Linked DNA regions of Sus scrofa. The main gene of each other region encodes a partner of the protein of the gene in region 2 in a complex. Links are inferred from orthologs where the notes say so. Each region holds a gene or a part of one and is shown on either strand. Other genes may lie near its edges. The genes, in order: GEMIN2 and STRAP.

Region 1 (3,824 bases), on a different chromosome or scaffold from region 2:
CCCCAGAATCTAAGACTTATAACTAAAATGTATATATGTGAATAGTTTAGCACCATGATCAAGAGCATGAGTTCTAACATCAGATCAACCTGGGGCTGAGTCCCAATGTCACCATTAAAATTCACTGAAAAACCACCAAGTGACTTTAATTCTGTTTCCTCAGCTACAAAAAAATAGGTATTAATAATAATCCCCCATAAAGGGTTGTAGTGAGGATTAAATAAGAACTGTTACAAAGTCTAGAACTGGGTCTTACATACTGTAAATATTCAGCAAATTATTTAAATATTTTAACACACATTGCAAACAAAAGAACACTTAACATTCTTATTATCAGACAGACTTTACCTGATTCATTCTGCTAACAATGCTAAGCAAGGGAGGAAAACCAATCTGAAAGAAAAATTAAATTGAAATTTACTAAATAGTATTACAAGGAGGGGGCTTCATTTTTTTTTTTTTTTTTCCAAACTGGTGAATTTCTCAACACACTGTTATTAAAGAACAAAGACTAGATAAAAGAAAAATTTCTCCACTGTCCATTACAATAAAATATTCCATGAGCTATTATGTTGGTAATGCCCAAGAAAATAATGTCTTAACATTTGAACACGTAAATTAAAACCAAAGAACGATTTTAGTAATTAAGATGTTAAAACGTGAAACTGAAAAAAATGATACTATGACATTAATATGTTGTATACACTTTTTCAAAATCTTCAGCTAAAGTTATTATTTTCAGGAATTAAAGGCACTTGAATGAGTTTTTTCAAACCTAGTCTGCTTCAATTTAAGAAAGTGCTTTGGAATTTAATGCGGGAAGCCTGGATTATGAAAACAGTCCTGACTTGGTGCGAAACTTGAGGACATGCATTAAACTTTTATGTTCTTAAATTGTTCTTTCACATGATATGCTTTACTTGTATGTATTTTGGGTTTTGTTTTGTTTTCTTTTCTTTTTAGGGGTGCACCCGTGGCATATGGAAGCCTTCTAGGCTAGGGGTTGAATCGAAGATATAGCTGCCGGCCTACACCACAGCCACAGCAACGCGGGATCTGAACCATGTCTGCAACTTACACCACAGGTCGTGGCAACGCCGGACCATGGACCCACTGAGCAAGGCCAGAAACCGAACCTGCATCCTCATGGGTACTAGTCAGATTTGTTTCCAATGCTCCAAATGGGAACTCCCTCACCTGTATGTATTTGGTAATAACGAACTATATATATTTTAATTCTGTGTCAAATTAAAATATATTATGGATATTATCCCAAAGAACATAAGTTGTCTAAGAAACAGTGTCAAATTAGCTCCCTTAGAGATTTGAATCTGTCTACACTCCCACTACCATGTGTAAGAGTGCCTGTCTTCCTAGCCTTTGTTGACTCAGTGTATCAAATTTTCTTTACCAATATGTCATACCAGCTCAGTGCAATTATAAGTTAAATTTCTATCATAAGTGAGTCTGGGCATCTTCTCATGTAAGAACAATCTGTATTTCCTTCTTGTGAGATGTCCTTTATATTCTTTGCCTTTTTTTTTTTTTTTTTAATTTGGGTTCTTGGTGTTTTTCAGTGATTTTTGGAGCTTTACATTTTGGGGCTAAACTAATTTTACTTTATTTATTTATTTATTTTTTTAAAACTAATTTTAATAGGAAAAACACAATGTGGCACCACACAGAAAATGATAAATATCTATTCAACAGAACAACATAGTTTCAGGAGTTACTAGTAATGCAGATGAATACAGTGAGTTTCCTTGGAACATCTGCACACTTGAAGGCAAGCGAATGCTGAAGGCAAGCGAATGCTAAAGGACAAGAAGCAGATAGCTACATAATTTATGATTAAAATAAAAGTCACGTGAAATTGGAGTTCCCATTGTGGTGAAGTGGAAAAGAATCCAACTAGGAACCATGAGATTGTGGGTTTGATCCCTGGCCTCGCTCAGTGGGTTGAGGATCCAGCGTTACCATGAGCTGTGGTGTGGGTGGAAGACGTGGCTTGGATCCTGCATTGCTGTGGCTGTGGTGTAGGCCAGCAGCAGTAGCTCTGATTAGACCCATAGCCTGGGAACCTCCGTATGCCACGGGTGCAGCCCTAAAAAAAGCAAAAAAAATAAAATAAAGTCACGTGAAATTAAAATATACCCTCAACATTTAATCTCCAGAATATGAATTTATGAATAAACATTTTAAAGCACCTAACTTTGTTTCCTTGACTACTTATAACTCATTGTTTGACTCATGCCTAATGGTTTTTTAAAAAAAGAATCCTATCTGACAAAATTATTAAAAAGCTAAACCATAAGAGATATGAAGCTAACCTAAAAAGAGCCACAGTACATTGTTTTATAAATGAGGCTATCAATTTTTAAGTCAAAGAGCCAATGAACTAAGTTAGGGATTGGCAAGTAATTTCCGTAAAGAGCCAGACAGCAAATATTTTAGGTTTTGTAGACCATATACTGTCTAAGTCACATTATTATTAATTTTTTTTAACAACCCTTTAAAAATGTAAAAACTATAAAGTTTTTATGTTTAGCTCATGAGCTGGACAAGAACAGGTTGCAGATTGGATTTGGCCTAGACTGCAGTTTGCTGAGTCTTTACATGAAATCATGCACTGAAATTATAATTTTTCTTTGTGTAGCCACATTATCACCTACTTGTACATAATCAATTCCAGGACTTTCACTTGCAGCTGGTCCAACAGTAACTCCTTCAGCACATAACCTTTCACCGAGACAAAATTTTTTCCAGCCTTCTTCATCTTCAGATTTTGGCTAAAACAAAGAAAAAAGAAGAAGAATTTAGTTATTCCTATATAATTTTTAAAGAAAATACTCAACAGTGAAAAAAATAAGTGAGAATTCCTCTGTATCCCCACCACCTCAACACAAAGATATACTGCCTGTTACGAAAGAGTGAACTGTGTAGTCCTAAAAATCACGTGCTGCAGTCCTAACCCGCAGTACCTCAGAATGTGATTATTTGAAGTCTGGGCCTTTATAGCAGCAATTAAGTTAAAATGAGGTAGTTAGGGCAGGTCCTAATCCAAAATGACCTGCATCCATAAGAAGAGGAAATGTGGACAGAGAGCTATTACACATGTGTGTGCACACAGGAGACTATGTGAGGACAAAGCAAGAAGATGACCATCTGAAACCAAAGAGAGAGGCCTGAAGAGAAATGTACCGACACCCTGATCTCAGACTTTGATGGTCACACCAGCATTTAGTTTGGATTGTACTTTATTATTTACTTATTTTTTTATTTTATTTTTTTTAGGGCTGCATCTACAGCATATGGAAGTTCCCAGGCTAGGGGTCAAATCGGAGCTGAAGCTACAGGCCTACACCACAGTCACAGCAATGCAGGATATGAGCCACGAATGTGACAATGGCAGCTTGCAGCAATGTCAGATCCTTAACCCACTGAAGGAGGCCAGGGATCGAACCTGCATCCTTACGGACACTGTGTTGGGTTCTTGACCCACTGAGCCACAATGGGAACTCTATAGTTTGAATCATACTTTATGGACAGTGACAAACAAGAGTGTGTTCAAAAGAGGGTGATAAAGATAGGAGCTGATATGGGACACTAAGAATGCTTACAAGAATAAAGGATGAGAATCCCAGGGAAGGAGACATGATTACATATTCCACATACTTAAAGGGCTGTCCAATCAAATAAGAAATATTTATTCTACATTGTCAGACTGAAAAAAAGCAGGACCAATTAGGAGCTCTCTTGTGGCACAGTGGGTTAAGGATCCAGTGTTGTCTCTGCAGCAGTGCTGGTCACTGCTGTGGCATGAG
Region 2 (3,824 bases):
TCTGCTACGCCACAACAGGAACTCTGGGTTCTTAAATTTTGTATCATGGGCACTATTCGTAAGTCAACAAACTTTTAGAAGTTTGTAAGAAAGTCAAAGCTACATTGGAAATTAAAGGTGAGGAAACAAACTACATTTATGGATTGTTCTCCTTTGGCATGAGAGTTTCTCTCTTTATTCTATCTAATAAACATAGCAAACTACTCTGACCTCACTTAATCAGTGTACTGTCTGACTCAGCAGTATAGTTCGGCCCTAGGCCAACATTTTTCATCTTTTACCTTTCTCAAAGCTGCTTTTTGAAAATGGCTCTTACACTGTCTTGAATTAGAAAGATGAGCAATTAACTGAGTTTTTACTGTCTGTCAGATATCAGATTAGAAAATGTAGATGGGCTGCATGACCATGTGTGCACGGTTTTTATCTGTGAATGATAGCAGCATCTGTCTGTGTTCTGCATTCAGATCTTGCTGTCCACACAGACATCATGCAGCCAAAGAGTAAGTTGGTATCATAGTACTGGTCTAGTGTTGTCTCTTTGGACCTATTCCCACTGGCCAGCCTCCAAGTTCCCCCACACAGAACTTTGGGAAAAGAGATTTTGTCACTTGGGGAATTTAATGTGAGATAACTGTAGTAACTTACTGTACTTTTGAAGGGGAAAAGGCAAAAAAAAAAAAAAGAAACTTTAAATGTATATTCTCATTTGATTCTTTAAATGCATATTCTCATTGAACTCTCAGGTATAGTAACCATTGTTAATCCGTTTATAGGTAAATAAATATAGTCTTCAAAAGGTTAAGTTGTGTTGAATGAACTTGCCTTTAACATTGTTTTTTGTCCAGAGGTAACAGGTGATTTTGTTGGGTTTTTTAATCTTTTGAAAGGAAAGACAGGTTCCCACTTTTTTGATGCTTTGCCCTGCTAACAGTGGTGTGGATGAGGGGCCTAGCATTACTGATAGCACTAGAATTAGCTCAACTGTCTTGTGCCTGGGTGCATGTTTTTTGTTTTTTTTTTTTGTCTTTTTGCTATTTCTTGGGCCGCTCCTGTGGCATATGGAGGTTCCCAGGCTAGGGGTCGAATCGGAGCTGTAGCCACCGGCCTACACCACAGCCACAGCAACGCAGGATCCGAGCCACGTCTGCGACCTACACCATAGCTCACGGCAACGCCGGATGTTAACCCACTGAGCAAGGGCAGGGACCGAACCCGAAACCTCATGGTTCCTAGTCGGATTCGTTAACCACTGTGCCATGACGGAACTCCCTGGGCGCGTGTTTTTATGAAGTTAGGCTATCTTAGTTCTTCTTTTACTTCATGTGGTACAATAATGCTTTTGAAAGCAGAAGGGTAGGTTGGAGGGAGTGCTGTATTCAATCCTAGATACATATAGCATCATAGTTTGTGGGTTCCTTGTCATGCAGAGAAATTTTTTAGTATGGGAAAACTAAATGTATTCTAGGTGAACATCAAGTTTAAATTGTGATGGAGTTTGAGAAGTCACTGTCCAATTTAAAAGATAGTTTTTCTTTTCTCTTTATTTAGTTGTTCAAATGCTGCTTTGTTTTAAAAATCACATATTAACAAATATGGTTTAAATTGTTTTACCTTAAGAACCTAAGGAAATCAGTGGTCACAGTTCTGGTATTAAAAAGGCTCTGTGGTGCAGTGAGGATAAACAGATTCTTTCAGCTGATGATAAAACTGTTCGGTAAGTAATTTTTCTTTTTCTTTTTCTTTCTTTCTTTTTTTTTTTTTTTTTGTCTTTTTGCTATTTCTTGGGCCGCCCCCGCGGCATATGGAGGTTCCCAGGCTAGGGGTCGAATCGGAGCTGCAGCCACCAGCCTACGCCAGAGCCACAGCAACGCAGGATCTGAGCCGCGTCTGCAACCTATACCACAGCTCACGGCAACGCCGGTCATTAACCCACTGAGCAAGGGCATGGTTCCTAGTCGGATTCATTAACCACTGTGCCACAATGGGAACTCCAGTAATTTTTCTTTAATAATTTAAAGTTCAAGAGTTTCCTTGTGGCAGGTTAAGGATCTGGCATTGTCACTGCAGTGGCTTAGGTCACTCCTGTGGCTCAGGTTTGACCCCTGGCCTGGGAACTTAGATGTGCTGAGGGCATGGCCAAAAAAAAAATTAAGTTTGAGAAATTATTTGACCTTAGAGCTTAAGTTTTTTTAAAAAAATTAACTATTATGTAGGAAGGATTGTGTCTGAACATTACAACTTTGGCTTTATATAGGTCACATTCTTCTGGAGCTATCCATCATTTACTGTTATAAACATAGAGCAGAATTCACAAGACAATTAAAACTGCTGACACCTTTATAAGCATGTCTTTTTAATCTGGGTCAGTGGACAGGTTGGCCTTAGAAAGTCCATTAAGCCCCTGAAATCCTATGCACAATTTTGTGAGCTGATACCTAATGTATTTTTCTATGTAAAGTTAAATAGGTTGTCATCAGACTCACAAAAATAGAATGTAATAATTATTATTTGGAGAAGTACTGAAATTGATTAGATTGAGAAATAAGTGTCTTCATAGCATAGCTTTGCTGAATCATTTGGGAAATATATTTAAAATATTAATATTAACTTTACCAACACGTGACCAAATAATTTGATGTTTTGTAGGAACCCAAAATTTCTCAGTATCGTCTGTGATTTATGAGTTGGAATGGAGGTTGTTTTACTAAGTGATTAGTCTTTCATTGGTTAATTTGCAGATGTAATTTAAGCTATAAGCTTTTTTATTCAATGAGTAAACACTAGCTTATTTTTCTCTTCTTTTTTTCCCTCCCCCCCCAGCCTTTGGGACCATGCTACTATGACAGAAGTGAAATCTCTAAATTTTAATATGTCTGTTAGCAGTATGGAATATATTCCTGAGGGAGAGATCTTGGTAATAACTTATGGACGATCTATTGCTTTTCATAGTGCAATAAGGTATGTCTTAAAAAATACCTTTACTTTCTTTTCTGGTAACAAAAGGGCAATTTAAGGTACTCAAGAATTGGAAGGTAGCAGTTCCTTAGTGGCCTAGTGATTAAGGACTCAGCATTGTCACTGCTGTGGCTCAGGTTTGATCCTTCACCCAGGAACTTCTGCATGCTGAGGGCATGGCCAAAAAATAAAATAATAATAAAAAAATTGAAAGTCATATGCTAAGTATTTAACTCTTTTAAAGACAAGTCTTGGCCTATTACTGTAATATGGAGGGAAATGTTTCCATACCCAATAATAATGTGTTCCTTAAGAATTTAGAAGTTCTCTTGTGGTGCAGCAAGGATCCAGGATTGTCACTGCAGTGGCTTGGATCACTGCTATGGCATGGGCTCAATCCCTGCCCCAGGAACTTTCTCATGCCATGAGTGCAGCCCCCCAAAAAAGTTATAGAAAAAAAAAATATAGAGACATTTGTTTAAAAAAGAGAGAGAATGTGGTATACTTTAAGCAGAGGAGTTAAATTCATTTCCAGATACTTAGGACATTTATTGGTAAAATTTAACAACTTTCAATTTATAATTTTCTTGAAAGGATCACTGGACTGGTGCTATAATTAATGTTGTTCATTACTGTGTAAAACCGCTATGATCTTGATTCTGCTATTTCACTTTAAAATTTCAGAGAAATTGTGATTTTTTCCCCCCCCGTTCCAAGTATAGTATAGACCTAATGGTCTTTTTATTTCAATTCTTATTTTATTTTATTTTATTTCATTTCATTGTTTGTCTTTTTTAGTGCTGCACCTGTAACACTTGGAAGTTCCCAGGCTAGAGGTCGAATTGGAGCTGCAGCTGCCAGCCTACATC

What was found.
Region 1: STRAP (region 2) and GEMIN2 share a complex: the UniProt entries of both Homo sapiens proteins name them as parts of the SMN-Sm complex. The link is inferred for Sus scrofa from reciprocal best matches to the Homo sapiens genes STRAP and GEMIN2.

The regions. Positions count from the first base shown.
Region 1 is NC_010443.5:169,682,355-169,686,178, reverse strand, and holds part of GEMIN2 (gem-associated protein 2), read right to left. Parts: intron 2,790-3,824; coding exon 2,673-2,789; intron 394-2,672; coding exon 349-393; intron 1-348. UniProt on the Homo sapiens protein: The SMN complex catalyzes the assembly of small nuclear ribonucleoproteins (snRNPs), the building blocks of the spliceosome, and thereby plays an important role in the splicing of cellular pre-mRNAs.
Region 2 is NC_010447.5:56,723,085-56,726,908, reverse strand, and holds part of STRAP (serine-threonine kinase receptor-associated protein), read left to right. Parts: intron 1-1,617; coding exon 1,618-1,714; intron 1,715-2,820; coding exon 2,821-2,958; intron 2,959-3,824. UniProt on the Homo sapiens protein: The SMN complex catalyzes the assembly of small nuclear ribonucleoproteins (snRNPs), the building blocks of the spliceosome, and thereby plays an important role in the splicing of cellular pre-mRNAs.